4 separate regions of the Mus musculus genome follow, and regions 1, 2 and 3 are each reported to be linked to region 4. Evidence: microRNA targets listed by miRTarBase, many of them from high-throughput screens and not tested one by one. Region 4 holds a microRNA gene; each other region holds the end of a gene's coding sequence.

Region 1 (5,159 bases), not on the chromosome of region 4:
TGACCCCCACATAAATAAATAAATGTAATTTAATGAAGAGAACAGGGCTTATCTGCTCAGCAATGAAGAGGGATTATTTGCTGCATTGTGGCATGACTGAACCTACCAAAAGATGCTAGCTCAGGTCTCTTTTCCCTTATAGAAGCCACTAACATCATGATGAATGTCCTAGTCACAACTTCTAATATTTGTTTTTGCTCCTGTTGTTTTTCGAAACAGGGTTTCTCTGTTTAACAGTCTAGGCTGTTGCAACCTAACTCTGTAGACCAGGCTGACCTCAATCTCACAGGGATCTGCCTGTCTCTGCCTCCTGAGTTCTGGGATTAAAGGCATGGGCCACCACATCCTGCTACAACTTCTAATCTTAATTACTTTCTAAAGGCCCTACCTACAAACCCATGTGACTTTGGAGATTAAGCTTCTAGCAATTGTGCTTGCAGGAAATGATGTCAAGCTATGCATGTGGGCATCCTGTTTGGGCCTCTTCTTTCACAGTGGTTTTTGTTACAGCCTTATTGCTATGATCTCTCCCCCTCCCTCTACTCCTTAGCCCCTCCCCCTTCATAGCATGTATATGTATATCCTCAAAGGATTTATTACATATACATTTTATTTAGAAAGCCCAAACTCAACCAAAAATAGAATAATGCCATATTTTAATTAGGTATTCTTAAATCATGGGAAAATATAGCCCCCCCCCAAAAAAAAGGAATTAAAAAATCCCACACTTTGGTCTTCCTTCCTACTGAGCTTCAAGTGGTCTGTGATTTGTATCCTGGTTATTTGGAGCTTTTGGGCTAGTATCCACTTATCAGTGAGTGCATACCATGTGTGTTCTTTTGCAATTGTGTTAACTCACTCAGGATGATATTTTCTAGTTCTATCCATTTGTCAAAAATTTCATGAATTCATTGTTTTTAATTGCTAAGTAGTACTCAATTGTGTAAATGTACCATATTTTTTTTATACATTCCTCTTTTGAGGGACATCTGGGTTCTTTCCAGCTTCTGGTTACTATACAGGCTTCTATGAACATAGTGGAGAATGTGTTCTTATTGAATGTTGGAGCATCTTCTGGGTATATGCCCAGGAGTGGTATGGCTGGGTCCCCAGGTAATACTATGTCCAGTTTTCTGAGGAACCACCAAACTGATTTCCAGAGTGGTTGTACCAGCTTGCAATCCCACCAACAATGGAGGAGTGTTTCTCTTTCTCCATATCCTCACCAGCATCTGCTGTCACTTGAGTTTTTGATCGTTAAAATAGTTATTTGGTTCTCTGAAGTCTAACTTCTTGAGTTCTTTGTATATATTGGATATTAGCCCTGTATCAGATATAGGAGAACAAAATACTCACAGGAACAAATATGGAGATAATGTGTAGAGCAGAGACTGAAGGTAAGGTCACCCAGAGACTGTCCCACCTGGGGATTTATCCTGTATACAGTTACCAAACTCAGACATTATTATGGATGCCAAGAAGTGCATGCTGAAAGGAGCCTGATATGGCTGTCTCCTGAGAGGCCCTGCCATAGCCTTACAAATACAGAGGCAGATGTTAGCAGCCAACCATTGGACTGAGCATGGGGTCCCTAATAGAGGAGTTAGAGAAGGGACTGAAGGAGTTGAAGGGGTTTGCAACCCTATAGGAAGAACAACAATATCAACCAACCAGACCCCCCCCCCCCAGATCTCCCAGGGACTAAGCCATCAACAAAGGAGTCCACATGGTTCCAGCTGCATATGTAGCAGAGGTTGGCCTTGTCATGAATCAATGGGAGGAGAGGTCCTTGGTCTTATGAAGGCTCAATAGATGCCCCAGTATAGGGGAAATGAGAGCAGGGAGGTGGAGTGGGTGGGTGGATGGAGGAACACCCTCATAGAAGCAGTGGGAGAGAGGATGTGATAGATTGTTTCTGGGAGAGAGGGAAACCAGGAAAGGGGATAACATTTGAAATGTAAATAAAGAAAATATCCAATAAAAAATAATTTAAAAAACCTACTAGAAAACTTGGAAGAAATGCCTTTTTAATTGGTATAAACATTATGTTATTACATTTAGAAAGCAATAATTCCAGTGTTTCTAGAAAGACTTGGCATCTCTAAAAATAGTTATATGAACTTCATAAAAAGAGATATATTTTCTGCTTTCAGATCTTATGAGTTGTTATGATTAGTACAGCCAAGTTTGAACACAAGGAACTATAATAAAACATTCTTTTACTATTAAAATAATTCTCCCAAAGTCTATATTAAAGCTTTACAGATTTCAGGGAAGGTGTAGTCTGTGAAACTGTGCCAAAGGTACACACAGTTGTGAGTGATATGTTGCTGTGAAACCCTCTTGGATGAAAATAATAAACTTTGGATATGAGAACACTTAATTTATTGGATGTCAGTGCCTCCTGCCTGTTTGTCTTCCTAAGCTCTTGGATTGAGACCTAACTGTGATGATCCTACTCTGTTCTTTGAAGCTCAGCTCCTGTAAACAGAGAGAAGGGATTAGTGTAGTGAATATTTGGCTTTGAGTTAATTGAATGTCTAATTTCCAGTGGTGTTGAACTTGGCTGGATACCCGTGTGGTTATAATATGCAAAGCCTCTGAAAACACATGGGTTCTCAAATAATGGCATGCTTTTTCCCCTGATTTTTTCCCCAAATGGTATTTTTGTTCTTTCCCTTACTGTCTACTTCAAATAAATTTTATACAGTTTTATAATTCCTTCAACATATGGCTACTGCCTCCCAGCTCCTCGTGTGCATTGGCAAGCAGCCACGTGCACCACTGAAGAGTGATTTCCTGGATGAGTTTTCAAGAATCCTCCTTTATCCACATTTCTACCTGTGTTCAACTTCTTAACATAGAGTTAGATTAGACCGTCCTCTCTTTATGCACCTTCTGTCTCCCTCCTTCCCACCTCTCCCTGTTCTGTTAGTACAGTTTTCTTTGAGCCTAGGCAGAGCATTTTATGCTGCCAGTGTTATTAGAGGTTTTTGCGAACAATGAGAGTATAAAACTTGTTTGGGTAATCCCAAGTGCTTCTTGCTTTTGACATCTATGGAGTCCTTGCCTGTTATTTTTGAATTATGAGTAGGAGGCCCCCCCCCCCTTTTAAAAATTTTGTACTTCTGCCTGTTCAAAAATTCTTAGAGCAGAAAATGTGTTAGCTTTGTAAGCCTTGTTACTCCTATTGAGAGCTCGTATGTATTTCCGTTTTGGAAAAATACATTTTACTTAACATTAATTGAGATGTGGGCCAGGCACACACATTGACGCAAAGGAGGAAATTTGGAAGGAATAGATGCTTTGAGATAAAGACAATGTCAGAGACAACAAAAAGTGTTTTCTTGAGATATCAGTAGTCAAAGAGGCTGAGACCTCTAAGCTGAGGATACTCAACCTCTCAAATCTTACTTAGGTGCTTTCTCTATTTCCAACCACCTTCTCACAGGTAGCCAGGAGGCGGCTGCCTCAACCCAGGAGGTGATGCTGGGAAGTTGGGAGGAAGTTGGCTGAGAAGATCAGAAGCACCTGTTTGTGTTTTTTCCCCTTTCTGTTAAAAGCCTCTTGTGGTCCTCTTTGTGTCCAGGCATTGTAGCACATGTGCTATTTCTGATCCATAGAGCTTTAATCTACTGTAGTCCAGAGTGTAAGTAAGATAGAAAAATTTTTACAAGCATATCTTGCAATAGAGAAAAATCTGTTAGGAGCAAAATATACTTGTGTGATGACTTTATATGCACGTATGAAAATACATGTGTATGTGTATACATAAATGTATTTATGTGTATTGTGTATACACATAAGTACACTGTATATTATGCTATTTAAATGGAACCTGGATATCCATTATAGATCTTATTGGGTTATTTGTGGAAATAAATGTAATATTTCAGTGTATTTATTTGTTATAGTGGGAGTCCTTAAATACAAAATCTTACTGCTAACAAACTGGATTAAGGCACCAATGTAATGGGAAAGTAATGTATATTTGCTATTGATGTGTTTGGCTGCCAAATCACAGAGAATTTCCATATTAGTTATAAATTGCAAACAGCAGCAAAGACTGGAAGTGTTCTGTACAACTTTAAAAATGTCTTGACTCTAACTCTTCCTAGTCCTAGAAGTTTCTTTCACAGACTTTCTTCTGTGAGGAAGATGCAGTCAGGTGAGCAGCCAGAAGAATCAACAAGGCTTAGTCTACTCCATTCAGACAAGCATCGGGCTCTCTGGGGAGTCCAGTGGAAGGGCCTACGGGGATGTCTGTGACTTCTGGTGGGGGCTGCTCCCTAGACTCACAGCCGGGCACCACAGCAGAATCTCCCTCACTCTCTGGAGATGGTGAAATATCATATTTTGCCTCTACTACAGATAGGGAGCCCTGGGCTGGGGACAGTGGGGCCTGACCAGAAGTGTTTGCCTCTGGTTTATGGGGCTTCGGACCCGGGGTATTTTCTGCAGGGAGACCCTGACTTTGTAGCTCTGCCTCTGCAGGGGTACAGGAGGCTGTAGGGGCAGGTGTGGCCTCACAGACGCCCTCCGCCACAGCCTGAGCACCTACAGGGGGCCGAGGACTCCCTGAATCAGCGGGAAGGCTGGGATGGTTTAAACGGGCTGTTTCGGGGTGCTGGTGGGTGACATCACTTCCACTTTGAGGACCATTCACTGCCAGCTGTCTTTCCGTTGGTTGGTCTGGGGTGAACTCTGGATGATGAAGGATGGTAAAAGCTGTGGCCAGGTTTTCCACAGCTTTTTGAAAACTGTTGGCTTCCTCTGCGTCCACCTCTTCATTTTCAGAGACGCTTGGCTCTGGCTCTTCCTCAGAGGTGCGCTGAACCTGGTCTTCCTTTTCGGACATTTTTGCTTCTCTGATTTTCTTGTAGAGTTCCTTTCTCTCCTCTTGTAAAGCACGACACAGGTTCTCCAGCCTTTGGATTTTCATCACGAAACACTCGTATTCTTTAGCTCGCAGGGCTTTCTGTGACATAAATGCACACACACACACACACACACACACACACACACACGACATGAGCAGTGAATTTCTCACGATGCTGTCCAGAAACAAAACTAGAATTTGCCTACTACGTTTGAACAAACATTTCGGGACATCTCTTTGTTTTTCTGATGTTTTGATTATTAGACTAAAAGACTTTTAA
Region 2 (5,159 bases), not on the chromosome of region 4:
TAACGAGGATATGTTGACTCAGAAGCAGAAAATTGCTGCTAGCAGTTGAATTCATGTCTGCACAAGTTCTCACCAGACTAACCAGGAAGGAAGGATGCAGCCGGCATCCTGCACAGAGCTATCTCCCTGCCTTCAGGACAGAGGCCAACATGTGATCCACAACCAGTTTCCAAATTCACAACAGGATATGATATTTAAGTTAGAACTCCACCAGAGGGAAATCGGTCAGGTCTAGTAGAAAAACTGGCCAAGTACAGCCCTGCTTCTTTTGGTTGGGAAGACACCTTCCAACAGGAGGCACCAGCACGAGACAGAGCACCTAGAACAAAGTGAAGACTTACTCTGGTATATTTCATAAAACCTGACATTAAGGATGTTTATCTCCAAGGTAAGAGATGATAAATACAAAATGGGCAGGGCCCTCATCTCTGGAATTGAGTCTGTATCTCTAAGAGACAGTAAGTGTGCTTAGCTGTGCAGTGCAGTCAGTAGTTCTAGTTAGGCTCAAGCCTATGGCTACGAGAGACCTACCTACATGCTGCTCCCTCCAGATAAGGGGTAGACAACAGCAAAAGGCAGTGGTAGCACAGCTCTGTTGCTTATGGCCAACTAACATTCTTTCTGTTGCTGGTGCCCAAGTCTCACTTCCTGCCAAGATCAACACAACCTCACCCCCAATGACCATTGAAAAAAACCCCACCAGATCTAGTTTTATAGGCATTTAATAGTTTACCAATTGGTACAATAAGATTTTTAATATGCAGAAAACATGGATAAATTTTGTTTTACACAGTCTGAGAGCAACAAATCTTACTGTAAAACACAAGAGCAATATTATATACATTCCTTTACTGATTTTTAAAATTTTGTCGATATCTTCGGTGAACTCTTAACAATCTGGGAACTGTTTTCTCCAATGACCACCTCTGCAACGTTCATATGAAATCAATGTTTGCCTTCATGTCAGTGTCAGGACCGGCTTCTAACTCGTAGAGTTTGTGTTTATTTCTAACGTCTTCAGAGTGAGCTTTGGGGATGCCTGAAGGATAAGCAGGCAAGAAAGCAGCTACTTACATGATACAGTGAAAGGATAAAAAGGCCCGTCCAGTCGTGACTTGTGAGTCCAGCTTACCCCATCCCACCCAACCCAGCCCACTGGAAAAAACCCAAAACCTTTCTTGCAATTTTGCCCATGTTGCTTGTCTACCATGACATTCCTTTTTGCACCATCTAGATTAATCAACACACTGGGTTTATATACAGCTGGACAGGAAGAGTAACCTTTTCAAGTGCCTTTTCCTTCTATTTCAACTTGTTGCTTAAGGATTATCAAGCCACCACTGTCAACAAACAAAATGTCCTTATTTTTAAATAGTTTTTTTCTTTTAAATTAAAAAACAAACAACAAAAAAATAAACTTTAGTGAGTGGTATTATCTGGAAGTTCACAAAGAACAGAAAGAGGCAAACAGGAGACTGGGCTTGGTGAGCCTAAAGCCAAAGCTTCCAAAGGACTAATAGTGCATCACGGCCCGGGACGGCTTGCTAATACTAGTGATTGTGGGTAGTGCTCTGAGCACACCATTGGTCACACCACATGCAGACAGAACAGGACGGTCTTAGTCTCCTAAAGTGCAAGATGTCATGTGAAAAGCAACTATTCTTCAGGTCATGTCTACACAAACCAACCTGCAGCTTGCACTCTCCATGCGGTTAGGACTTCTTGGGCACGCTGTGCTATAGGTGGCACTGGAATGTCTGTTTACACACACAATCAACAACCATCCGAGTACACAATTCTATCAGCTTTTTATTTAGTAAGCAGCCAATCTGACTCAAGAAAGTAACAAAGCAGCAGTGAACCGCTAACCAATTCATAAAGTCCTCTACTTACAACCCAAACCAGTAACTTTATCATTGTCCTTATCCCAGGCAAGGCACAGGGTTAGACAGCAGACAGAGAAAACAGTAACATAAGAGTAAGGGCATCAACAGGGCAGTGTCAAACAACAGTGTGAGAAACCTTTGCAAATCCGATGCCAGATGTGGATGTTGCCCCGCCACCCTTCATTATTCAAACAGGGCTCGTTAAGTTTGGATCCAGCTGTGGACCATCCCTGAGATTCAATGTTTTCTGCTGCTTAAATGGATGATGTCTGGTAACTCAGCTAAGCAGCAGGCTGTGGCATTCTCCCAAGTAAGGACAGCTTTGTTACAGAGCACTCTCTCCTCCGTTGTCAGTGAGTCACTGCTGCAGGGGAGGAAACCCAGCAGCTTTGCTCCTCTACATTGGTACCATTCTTTATTGTTTCTATGAATGATGTCTAGATGTTGTGGCTTACCCTTAAACAATTCATGTTGCTACATGCTAAAACTGAATTAAAAAACAAGACATTTTAACACATACAAACAAATGTTAAGATGCACCATTTCTATGTATTTATATTCTTGAAATAGGACAGGAAATAGCAGCAAATGAGAACGAAGGTATTTTCTATAGCTTTTGGAGAAAAATCCAGTCAGAACAGCTAGGAGAAAAAGACTTCTTAATGTAAGCAGGGCTGTGAGGCAATGTTGTCCTAAAAGCCAACCTACAGTGTTGTTTATGGGAGTCACGATGGAGTTTTTGTCCTCAAAAATAACCACTTAATTCTCAAAACACTTTTCCTTTCTAGAGAAATCTCTGAGGAATATTAAGAACAAACAAGTGAACAAACAAAAGCACACAAGCTAGACAGTGAGCTTCTGTCAGAGCCTAATCTCTTGTGTATATCTACAGGACATTAATTCTCACCCTTTGTCCTTTCAGGAACCAAATTTCCATTCAATACTTAAAGGGATTTTTAAAAAATCTATTATACAAACGAATAAAATGCAGTCCAGAAAAAAAAAATTATCATTGTTAGACTGTCACTGTTATGTCATTGTTTCTGTTAACCTTTCAAATTGATTTTCTTAAAAAGAAAAAAAAGTTGATTAGCTAGGTGATAAATTCTTTATTAAAAATTGACAATGGAATAGTGTTCCAAAAGTCATGGGCAAAATTCTCTTAAACCTACTGTAGAAACTCTGGATCAAAATATACAGCCTATGAGGAATGCGTAACATGGTGACTGGCCACATTAGAGGGGAGAACAAAGGAAGTGACTTTCTCTTAGAAAAGCTCCTCAGAGTCAGAAACAGCAGAAGAGTTTAGCATGGCTGTGGTTGGTGTTCCCCAGCAAGATTTACTCTATGCGTAAGTTTTAGCACTTCTTCAAAAACTTAAGACCCAACAACATGGAGGTTATATGTGTGTGATATACATATATAGACATATCCACTTACAGATAGGCCCATATACTTATAAACATTTACATATAAACAAAACATGAGAAAAAAAAAACCCAGTATATTCTATGCACGCTTCATTACACCCTGTCACTTTTTTTTATAGCTTGTAAGTGAAACAGTTCGAATTGTTATCAGGGTCATGTTGGAAACTGTTCCTTCCACTCCTTTAAAATGCGCACCCAGCTTTGTCAGCATTCATAATTCTGACATGCACATTGCACATCCCTAAAAACATCATAAACACATAGTGATCTGTACCATAACACTCAATGGGAAGATCAAATTCTACTGGGGAGTCACATCACTACACAGTCCAACAGTCTGGAGAATACAACTCGCATGTCTAGTGTGAAGAGAAGCCTAAAGTAGGACAGTGCTTCCTGACCTGTTTACAAAGCAGTAAGACCCAAATGAAAAAGGATTCACTATTAGCTGCTGAGATTTTTCTTGAGAATTACGATCATTTTCTTACATAAATAAACCACTAGCCTTTGCTTGATAGGCTGCCAAAACAAACATATCCTATTGATTTGGCAAAGGGGTCATGACAAAAACTTCATGTGTAATCCCCATTACACAGATGGAGCAAAGATTCTGAATTGCAGTCTTATTATCTAACACCCTTAAAGATTTAGTAAGCACACTTAAGTGATGTTACATAGATACACATTTCAGAAAAAGCCCTAATAACCACCACTTTCCCCAAAATGAGGCCATCAAGTCAGGCACCAACAGATAGCAGGAAGAAAAACAGTAATTAATAATCCAACATAAAATGACACTGTCAACTATTCAGTTTAGTGCCCTAGTTCAATTTATTTAACTTCTGCCCTTGTAGGCCTGGTGTGACCAATGCCAGCCCAGGTTTTTAAACCCTATGGTACTTCTAGACAACATATGTAAATTTACAGTATACAATTTGGATTCACCATGCATGAATACTTTGTGTGTAACATTTAATAAGTTCAATCTACATCCAGAATAATTTACATGAAAGGACAATATTTATTTAAACAGAGCTCAAATGGGGTAACCATGGTATCATCAGAGTGCATCCAGAGGAAAAAAGGGAGGAAGAACCAAATGTGACTCAATCAACGGCACTCCCACACCTTTACTGTTTGATCTACACTGCCAGTAACCACATAGGGTGCCGTCTTATGGAAATCTGAAAGAGAAAAGAAAAGGCTTGTTTTCAAACCATACTAAGCCAGACAGAATGCTTTGCTTGCTTTTTGAGCAGTATATTTTATATAAGCCCAGCAGGCCTTGTACTTGATTCCCTCCAGGTCAGCTTCCCAAGCTCTGGGAGTCTATGAACCTCTGCCTCCACACTTGAATACAATGTCCACGATTTTCTCCATATACATACCCATCCATATCTCTAAAATTACTGAGCTTACCAACTGGATTAGGAATGTTGAAACTCAATTATTAAATTCCACTCGATGTCACTAGTATCATCCCAAACAATGCTCAAACCTACTAACAAGTGCATATTCACCCAGCATATTGATTTACTGAATGTTGTGCTTCAGGCTTAGTACTAATGCAACACTCCTGCCCAATTTACCAAGGGCTTTATTGTCACCATAAGGTCCATCCATCATACCCTAGTACATTACAATTTACTGAATTCACTGTTATCAACTCCAGATGATACTGAGGACATGACGTTTATACAATTCCCTAAGTACATGGTGATGGTGGTATATAGTGGATAGTGCATTTTTTTTTCCTTTCTTTCTTAAACAATAATGTCCTGCCATGTATCTCTTGCTATGTACATCAAGCTGGACAAAATTTGGGGCATAATCATCCTGCTCT
Region 3 (5,159 bases), not on the chromosome of region 4:
TTTTGTGGAATAGTTTGAAGAGTATTGGTATTAGGTCTTTAAAGGTCTGATAGAATTCTCCATTAAACCTATCTGGTCCTGGGCTTTTTTTGGTTGGGAGACTATTAATGACTGCTTTTATTTCTTCAAGGGTTATGGGACTGTTTAGTTTATCTGATCCTGTTTTAACTTTGGCACCTGGTATTTGTCTAGAAAATTGTCCATTTCATCCAGATTTTCCAATTTAGTTGAATATAAACTTTTGTAGTCGGATATGATGATTTCTTTAGATTTCCACAGTTTCCATTGTTGTGCATCCCCTTTCATTTCTGATTTTATAAATTTGGATTCTGTCTCTGTGCCTTCTGGTTAATCTGGCTCAGGGTTTATCTGTCTTGTTTTCTCAAAGAACTAGCTCCTGGTTTTGTTGATTCTTCGTATAGTTCTTTTTGTTTCTATTTGGTTGATTTCAGCCCTGAGTTTGAGTATTTCCTGCTGTCTACTCCTCTTGGGTGTATTTGCTCTTTTTGTTCTAGAGATTTTCAGGTGTGCTGTCAAGCTGCTAGTGTAAGCTCTCTCCAGTTTCTTTTTGGAGGCACTTTGGAGCTATGAGTTTTCCTCTTACCACTGCTTTGTGTCCCATAGGTTTTGGTATGATGTGTCTTCATTTTGATTAAATTCTAAAAAGCCTTTATTTTCTTTATTTCTTCCTTGACCAAGTTATCACTGAGTAGTTTGTTCAGTTTCCATGTGTATGTGTGTTATCCATTGTCTTTGTTGAAATTTAAGACCAGTCTTATTCTGTGGTGATCTGATAGGGTACATGGGATTATTTTAATCTTCTTGTATTTGTTGAGACCTGTTTTGTGACCAATTATATGGTCATTTTTGGAGAAGGTACCATGAGGTGCTGACAAGAAGGCATATTCTTTTGCTTTAGGATGGAATGTTCTATAAATATGTTAGATCCATTTGGTTCATAACTTCTGTTAGTTTCACTGTGTCCTTGTTTAGTTTGTTTCCATAATCTGTCCATTGCTGAGAGTTGGGGTGTTAAAGTCTCCCACTATTATTGTGTGGGATATGATGTGTCCTTTGAGCTTTAGTAAAAAGTTTCTTTTCTGAATGTGGGTGTCCTTGCATTTGGAGCATAGATGTCCAGAATTGAGAGTTCATCTTGGTAGATTTTTTCTTTGACCAGTAGGAAGTGTCCTTCCTTATCTTTTCTGATTTTCGGTTGAAAGTCGATTTTATTCAATATTAGAATGGCTAGTCCAGCTTGTTTCTTGGGACCATTTGCTTGGAAAAATTGTTTTTCAGCCTTTTACTTTGAGGCAGTGTCTGTCTTTGTCACTGAGGTGCATTTTCTGTATGCAGCAAAATGCTGGGTCCTGTTTATGTATCCAGTCTGTTAGCCTATGTCTTTTTATTGGGGAATTGAGTCCATTGATGTTAAGAGATAGTAAGGAATAGTGATTGTTAGTTCCTGTTATTTTTGTTGTTAGAGGTGGAATTATGTTTGTGTGGCTATCTTCTTTTAGGTTTGATGAAAGATTACTTTTTTGCTTTTTCTAGGGTGTAGTTTCCCTCCTTGTGTTGGTGTTTTCCATCTATTATTCTTTGTAGGGCTGGATTTGTAGAAAGATAATGTGTAAATTTGGTTTTGTCATCGAATATCTTGTTTTCTCGGTCTATGGTAATTGATAGTTTTGCTGGGTATAGTAGTCTGGGCTGGCATTTATGTTCTCTTAGGGTCTGTATGACATCTGCCCAGGATCTTGTAGCTTTCATAGTCTCTGTTGAAAAGTCTAATGTAATTCTGATAGATCTGCCTGAATATGTTACTTGACCTTTTTCCCTTAATGCTTTTAATATTCTTTCTTTGTTTAATGCATTTGGTGCTTTAATTATTATGTGACAGGAGAAATTGCTTTTCTGGGCCAGTCTATTTGAAATTCTGTAGGCTTCTTGTATGTTCATGTGCATCTCTTTCTTTAGTTTAGGAAACTTCTATACCTATTATCCTTAGGTTTGGTCTTCTCATTGTGTCATGGATTTCATGGATGTTTTAGATTAGGAGATTTTTGCTTTTTGCATTTTCTTTGATTGTTGTGTCAATGTTTTCTATGGTATCTTCTGCCCTTGAGATTCTTTCTTCTATCTCTTGTATTCTGTTGGTGATGCTTGCATCTATGACTCCTGATCTCTTTCCTAGGTTTTCTAACTCCAGGGTTGTCTCCCTTTGTGATTTCTTTATTGTTTCTATTTCCATTTTTTAGATCTTGGGTGGCTTTGTTCATTTCCTTCGCCTGTTTGATTGTGTTTTCCTGTAATTGTTTAAGGAATTTTTGTGCTTCCTCTTTAAGGGCTTCTACCTGTTTACCTGTGTTCTCCTGTATTTCTTTAAGGGAGTTACTTATGTCCTTCTTGAAGTCCTCTATCAGTGTCATGAAAAGTGATTTTAGATCTGAATCTTACTTTTTCTGTGATGGTGTATCCAGAACTTGCGATGGTGGGAAAATTGGGTTCTGATGATGCCAAGTAACCTTGGCTTCTGTTGCTTATGTTCTTAAGCTTGCCTCTCAACATCTGATTATCTCTAGTGCTATCTGACTGAAGCCTGTCCTTCCTGTAATTCTGGTTGTGTCAGAACTCCTCAGAGTCCAGCTGTCTCTGTGATCCTGTGATTCTGGGATCCTGTGATCCTGAGATCCTGGGTATGTCAGAGTTCCTGGGAGTCAAGCTGCCTCTGGGACCCTGAAAAACTGGTGTGACCAAGCTCCTGTGATCCTGTGATCCTAGGTGTTAGAGTGCCTGGGAGTGGAGCCCCCTCTGGGTGTTGTAGGACTGGCACAAGGAAACTAATGCAGACCAGGAGGAAAGGGGAAGTTTGAAAAGACTCAGAAATATTGAAGAAAAAAATAATCTGAACTGTTGGAAATGACAAACATACTAATTCATAGAAGAAGCTCTGTAGAAAATCTCAGAAACAGAATGGATCAAATAGAAGACAGACTACCTGAGCTTAAAGATAAAGTATAGAACTGGAATAATCAAGCAGGGATAAAAATCAGAAGATGTCAGTGGGAAATCCATGACATATGTGACACTCTGGAAAGATCAAACCTTTGAGCAATAGGCATAGAAAGGGAATCTAGTTCTAAAGGCATAGAAAACATTAAAGAAAAAAAAAAAGACAGTTTTCTAAAGTTAGGGATAGAGATGCTTACCCAGCCTGTACTGGTTAGTAGGCAAGTGTGTGGGACATTTTCTTGAGAAATGGGTGATGTTGGGGGGCCCAGACAACTATGGGAGGAGTAACTCCTTGACAGGCATTCCAGGGTTGTATAAAAAAGACTAGTGAGCCATGGGGAGCAAGGCAGTAAGCAGCATTCCTCCATGATCTCTGCTTCAGCTCCTGCCTCCAGGTTCCTGCTTCAGTCACAGCCCTGGCTGTCCTCAGGCTATGATGTACAAGTGTGAGATAAGAGTCCTTTCCTCCCCAGTTGCTTTTGGTCAGTGTGCTATCACAGCAATAAAAAGCTAAGTAGGACAGATACCAAGAGATGCTCCAAATAAATGGACCTAAGAGGCAAATGCCAGTGTTCTAACATCTAACAGAACAGGCTCAAACCAGAACTAGTGGAAAAGGATAAAGATGGTCACTTCCTGTTGTTTAAGAGAACATCAAGAGGTCATAATGACTGTTAACACATATGCACCCAATTTCATAATACTGTATAAGCCATATACACTCTTGGGCTTGAGAACAGTACCTGCCCAACAACCACAATGCAAATAAAGGTAAAGGAAAAACAGAATGAACAAATACAAGATAAGTACTTACCTGGTGTGGTGGTGTATGCCTTTAGTCCAGCACTTAGAAGGCAGAGGTAGGAGGCTATAAGTTCCAGGTCAGCGTGATTTATACATCCAGTCCCAGGACACCCAGCACTACATAAAAACCCTGCCTTTAAGAAAAAATGTTATCAAAAGAAGGGACTCTACTATATTAAGGGAAAAATGATAACATAGTTTATTTCCACATAAGGACAAATTATATTCCAAATAATCACATAATTTCAAGAAGACTTTTCCTAAAATATTTTTACAAACTGTAACCCTATTGCTTTGAATTCTAACCCTGATGCCTTGAATTCTGGAAAAGTCATCTTGTACATTAGTATTACCTTAAACTGAAACATTCTAAAACAGCCATACCTTCTACGGGTCTCATTTACGTTGCTGAAAAATCTTTCTAGATATCTTTCATGATAAATGATGCTGTTAATAATTTTACTCTGAGGAATTGTATTTTAGTGATTTTTCCACTTTTACAAATAAAGAACACATATACATACATATCACACACACACACACACACACACACACACACATTTTTCTAATGGCTTGTACTAGTGACCAGGGAGTTACATTTTGTCAAACCCAGGTTGAACAGAGTTGAATTCAGATTAATACAGAGAAAGGCGTGCTCTGGATGTGTTGTCCTTTGTATTTCCTGAAGCATTAGGTGAATGGTAAAAACTTCAAAGAGCTTCTTGTTACTCCTGTAAAAGAATGGGCACATTATTTAATTGCTTATAAACTTGAGAGAACGTATGCAAATGTGAGGAAATAGCACTTGCTTTTTAAGAACAATGGAGAAAATGGCTGACTACAGGATTAAGATACTAAGAAAACTAGGTTTTAGGAGTTAAGGCCAGAGTGGAAAGACATTAAAGGCAAAAAAGAAAACTGTTTATATCCTGAAAACTGATCCCTGTTTACTAATAGAAAAAAAAAAAAATCTACTAGGTACAAGGAAGCCCTGCTTCCCAGCTGGCCAGAACCTAACTGTTACCTGAGGGATCTACAATGAATGCGCTGCTTTTCCTCCCTCACAGACACTTGGGCTCTGTGCAGTGCTGCGTACTCTTTAATCAGGTAGGCAGATCTGAGGTCCAGGACAGCCTGGGCTACACAGCAAGTTCTAGGATAGTCAGGGCTACATAGAGAGACCTTGTCTTACAAAACAAAAGAAGAAATAGGAGAAGGGGGGAAAAGAAGAAAAGAAGAGGAGGAAGAGCAGGAAGAGAAAGAAGAAGGAAGAGGAGGAAGAGAAGGCATTCAGTAATTTCGTTTTAGTTAGAATTGTATCTTAAATGTAAAACAGAACTTCA
Region 4 (5,159 bases):
ATGAACTTGCACTCCTGATCTTCCCGACTCTACCAAGGGTTTTCCCGTGGTTTGTGAGACCTCACCCTGGCCCAGTCATACATAACCTCCAAAGCAGTAGGTCACATTTCATTCAAATGGATCCGTGAGGGCCATTCCCGCATGTCTGTGTGCATGTGTGTGTAGGTGTGTGTATGTATATGCATAAAATATACACGCATATACATGCAGGCACTTACGCACACAGGCACATACATAGGGGCCATCACATTAGTCCAGGATGATCTCTAACTGCTCATGAAGTTAAGCATGAAATTGAACTCCTGATCCTCCTGACACTGACAATTGTTTACACCTGGTGAGTGAGACCTTCACTGTCCTTCTACTTTATAATCAGCAAAATTCTAAGACATATATCATTCAAATGGATCAAAGAGTGTCATTCTTATGTGTGTGAGTGTGCATGCCTGTGTGTGTGAATACATTTGTATGTGTGTGTATTTATAAGTATGATCATATACACACATGTACGTGCACACACAATTATATGCACTTGTGCATACCTAGGGTCCATCACACAAAAACAGGGTGATCTCTAACTCATTATGAAGTTAAGCATGAATTTGAACTCCTGAGACTCCTAACTCTGGCAAGTGGTTTTCATCTGATAAGTGAGATTATTCACTATACCATGAATATACACTCAATGAAACTCTAAGCACGTATAAATCAAATGGATGACTGCCATGTGTGTTTGTGTGCACATATATGTGTCCCTAGTTGTGTGTATATATACATATGCATGTTCATATACGCGCATGTACAGGCATACTTCCCTATACACATAAACACAAACACAGGGAAAATCACATGAATTCCCGGCTGATCTCTAACTCATCATAAAGTTAAACATGAATTTGAACTACTCATCCTCATGATGCTGGCAAGAGTATTCACCTCCTAACTGATTAATAGCTCGGGCCATTCATGGGAGTATGTTTGCGTGTGAGTATATGCATATTCATATACAGAAGTGATTATGTACACAACTATACACACATGCACATTCTTGGTGGGCATCACATGAATCGCATGCTGAACTCTAACTCATCATGAAGTTAAACATGAATTTGAACTCCTCATCCTCCTGACACTGGCAAGAGTACTCACCTCCTGAGACATAGCTCTGGCCATTCCTATGAATGTGTGTGCATGTGTGTATATGCATATTCATATAGAGAAGTGAATATGCAGACAACTATACACACATGCACATTTTTGGTGGGCATAAGATGAATCCCATGCTGATCATGAACTCATCATGAAATTCAGCACAAATTTGAACTCCTGATCCACCTGACTCTGTCAAGGGACTTCACCTGCTGAGTGAGACCTCTCCCCATTCAGTAATGAGGAATCTTAAAACTCTAAGTCACACGTCATTCAAATGGATCGATGAGTTGCACTGATGTTTGTGTGTGTGTTTCTGTTTGTGTCTGTGTACATGTATATATTTGTGTAGATAGGAACATACATATACTCAAATCCACACAAAATATAAACAGATACAGATAGGGATACATAGGGGGCATCACATGAATCCCAGGCATATCTCTAAGTCATCATGAAGTAAAGCATGAATTAGAACTCCTGATCCACAATCTTTCACACCTGGTGAGTAAAACCGTTCACTGTCCCAGTACTGCATAATCTTTAAAACTTTAAGTCGCATATCATTCAAACGTATAAATGAATGCAATTTTTTTCTCTGTGTCTGTGCTTTCATATACACGTTTGTTTATGTTTTGTATATCATGTCAACAGATGCAATGCATATACAAGTAAACACATATGCACATACATGGATGGCCTCACATGAATACCAGGATGATCTCTAACTGAATTAAGCATGAAGTTGAAATCCTTATCCTCCTGACTTTGTCAATCTTTTACACCTGGTGGGTGAGACCATTCAATGTCCCCTATTGCATAATCTCTAAAACTCTACATCACTTATCATTCAAAGGGATTGGCGAATGCCATTCCTGTGTCTGTGTATGTGTGCTTGCGTTTATACGTGTGTGTGTGTATGTTATGTATATTCAAATATAGACATGAACATGCACACACAACTATACACACATGCACATACATGGAGGAATCACAGGCTGATCTCTCATGAGGATAAGTATGAATTTGAACTCCTGATACTCTTAACTCTAGCAAGCATTTTCACTCTAAGTCACTTATCACGCAAATGGATTGATGAGTGCCATTCCCATGTGTCTGTGTGCTCATATGTGTCTTATGTGTGCGTGTATGTATATGTATATCATATTCACACATGTACATGTACACACACATCAACACATACACATATTCATAGGGGCAATCACATGAATGCCAGGATGACCTCTAACTCATCATGCCTTTACCATGAACTTGCACTCCTGATCTTCCCGACTCTACCAAGGGTTTCCCGTGGTTTGTGAGACCTCACCCTGGCCAGTCATACATAACCTCCAAAGCAGTAGGTCACATATCATTCAAATGGATCCGTGAGGGCCATTCCCGCATGTCTGTGTGCATGTGTGTGTAGGTGTGTGTATGTATATGCATAAAATATACACGCATATACATGCAGGCACTTACGCACACAGGCACATACATAGGGGCCATCACATTATTCCAGGATGATCTCTAACTGCTCATGAAGTTAAGCATGAAATTGAACTCCTGATCCTCCTGACACTGTCAATTGTTTACACCTGGTGAGTGAGACCTTCACTGTCCTACTTTATAATCAGCAAAATTCTAAGACATATATCATTCAAATGGATCAATGAGTGTCATTCTTATTTGTGTGAGTGTGCATGCCTGTGTGTGTGACTACATTTGTATGTGTGTGTATTTATATGTATGATCATATAAACACATGTACGTGCACACAAAATTATATGCACTTGTGCATACCTAGGGTCCATCACACAAAAACAGGGTGATCTCTCACTCATTATGAAGTTAAGCATGAATTTGAACTCCTGAGACTCCTAACTCTGGCAAGTGGTTTTCATCTGATAAGAGAGATTTTTCCCTATACCATGAATATACACTCAATGAAACTCTAAGCACGTATAAATCAAAAGGATGACTGCCATGTGTGTTTGTGTGCACATGTATGTTTCCCTAGTTGTGTGTGTGTGTGTGTGTGTGTATATATATATATATATATATATATATATATATACATATATATATATATATATATGCATGTTCATATACGCGCATGTACACGCACACTTCACCTATACACATAAACACAAACACAGGGAAAATCACATGAATTCCGGGCTGATCTCTAACTCATCATAAAGTTAAACATGAATTTGAATTGCTCATCCTCATGATGCTGGCAAGAGTATTCACCTCCTAACTAAGTCATAGCTCGGGCCATTCGTGGGAGTATGTTTGCATGTGAGTATATGCATATTCATGTACAGAAGTGAATATGTACTCAACTATACACACATGCACATTCTTGGTGGGCATCACATGAATCGCATGCTGAACTCTAACTCATCATGAAGTTAAACATAAATTTGAATTCCTCATCCTGACACTGACAAGAGTGCTCACCTCCTAACTGAGACATAGCTCTGGCCATTCCTATGAATGTGTGTGCATGTGTGTATATGCATATTCATATAGAGAAGTGAATATGCACACAACTATACACACATGCACATTTTTGGTGGGCATAAGATGAATCCCATGCTGATCATGAACTCATCACAAAATTCAGCACGAATTTGAACTCCTGATCCACCTGACTCTGTCAAGGGATTTCTCCTGCTGAGTGAGACCTCTCCCCATTCAGTAATGAGGAATCTTAAAACTCTAAGTCACATATCATTCAAATGGATCGATGAGTTGCATTCATGTTTGTGTGTGTGTTACTGTTTGTGTCTGTGTACATGTATATATTTGTGTAGATAGGTACATCCATATACTCAAATCCACACACAATAGAAACAGATACAGATAGGGATACATAGGGGGCATCACATGAATCCCAGGCATATCTCTAAGTCATCATGAAGTAAAGCATGAATTAGAACTCCTGATCCACAATCTTTCACACCTGGTGAGTAAAACCATTCACTGTCCCACTACTGCATAATCTTGAAAACTTTAAGTCACGTATCATTCAAACGTATAAATGAATGCAATTTTTTCCTGTGTGTGTGTGCTTGCATATACACGTGTGTTTATGTTATGTATATCATGTCAACACATACAATGCACATACAAGTAAGCACACATGCACATACATGGGTTGCATGACATTAATACCAAGATGTCTCCAAATGAAGTTAAGCATGAATTTGCAATCCTTATCCTCCTGACTTTGTCAATCGTTTACACCTGGTGAGTGAGGACATTCAATGCCCCCTATTGCATAATCTCTAAAACTCTACATCACTTATCATTCAAAGGGATTGGCGAATGCCATTCCTGTGTCTGTGTATGTGTGCTTGCGTTTATACGTGTGTGTGTATGTTATGTATATTCAAATATAGACATGAACATGCACACACAACTATACACACATGCACATACATGGAGGAATCACAGGCTGATCTCTCATGAGGATAAGTATGAATTTGAACTCCTGATACTCTTAACTCTAGCAAGCATTTTCACTCTAAGTCACTTATCACTCAAATGGATTGATGAGTGCCATTCCCATGTGTCTGTGTGCTCATATGTGTCTTATGTGTGCGTGTATGTATATGTATATCATATTCACACATGTACATGTACACACACATCAACACATACACACATACATAGGGGCAATCACATGAATGCCAGGATGACCTCTAACTCATCATGCCTTTACCATGAACTTGCACTCCTGATCTTCTCGAATCTACCAAGGGTTTTCCTGTGGTTTGTGAGACCTCACCCTGGCCCAGTCATACATAACCTCCAAAGCAGTAGGTCACATTTCATTCAAATGGATCCGTGAGGGCCATTCCCGCATGTCTGTGTGCATGTGTGTGTAGGTGTGTGTATGTATATGCATAAAATATACACGCATATACATGCAGGCACTTACGCACACAGGCACATACATAGGGGCCATCACATTATTCCAGGATGATCTCTAACTGCTC

Evidence for each region. The annotated mature microRNA mmu-miR-466a-3p reads UAUACAUACACGCACACAUAAGA and lies in region 4 at 2,283-2,305, opposite strand. An mRNA with a match to its seed (bases 2 to 7 or 8) in the 3' UTR can be bound and repressed. Matches are read on the target gene's strand: a 7mer-m8 pairs with bases 2 to 8, a 7mer-A1 pairs with bases 2 to 7 and ends in A, and an 8mer does both.
Region 1: miRTarBase lists Txlnb as a target of mmu-miR-466a-3p. Seed matches in the 3' UTR shown: 8mer at 3,767-3,774.
Region 2: miRTarBase lists Pafah1b1 as a target of mmu-miR-466a-3p. Seed matches in the 3' UTR shown: 8mer at 3,300-3,307 and 7mer-A1 at 838-844.
Region 3: the mRNA of Ccdc138 is a reported target of mmu-miR-466a-3p. Seed matches in the 3' UTR shown: 7mer-m8 at 4,337-4,343 and 8mer at 4,332-4,339.

Annotation. Positions count from the first base shown.
Region 1 is chr10:17,842,517-17,847,675 of GRCm38, reverse strand. Txlnb (taxilin beta) reads right to left here. Exons shown (of 10, transcript NM_138628.3): 10 at 2,013-4,978. The coding sequence ends at 4,196. Among named protein-coding and RNA genes, the nearest start is that of Gm20655, 9.5 kb to the right of the region's middle.
Region 2 is chr11:74,673,243-74,678,401 of GRCm38, forward strand. Pafah1b1 (platelet-activating factor acetylhydrolase, isoform 1b, subunit 1) reads right to left here. Exons shown (of 11, transcript NM_013625.4): 11 at 707-4,500. The coding sequence ends at 4,427. Among named protein-coding and RNA genes, the nearest start is that of Cluh, 26 kb to the left of the region's middle.
Region 3 is chr10:58,575,077-58,580,235 of GRCm38, reverse strand. Ccdc138 (coiled-coil domain containing 138) reads right to left here. Exons shown (of 16, transcript NM_001162956.1): 16 at 3,992-4,547. The coding sequence ends at 4,382. Among named protein-coding and RNA genes, the nearest start is that of Ccdc138, 80 kb to the right of the region's middle.
Region 4 is chr2:10,493,465-10,498,623 of GRCm38, reverse strand. It overlaps Mir466b-7 (microRNA 466b-7), which reads right to left and starts at 2,356; the gene lies at 2,269-2,356. The region is part of intron 10 of Sfmbt2 (Scm-like with four mbt domains 2); the gene reads right to left. It overlaps Mir467a-7 (microRNA 467a-7), which reads right to left and starts at 5,114; the gene lies at 5,032-5,114. It overlaps Mir466b-6 (microRNA 466b-6), which reads right to left and starts at 4,826; the gene lies at 4,737-4,826. It also overlaps Mir669a-9, Mir467a-8, Mir669p-2 and Mir467a-9.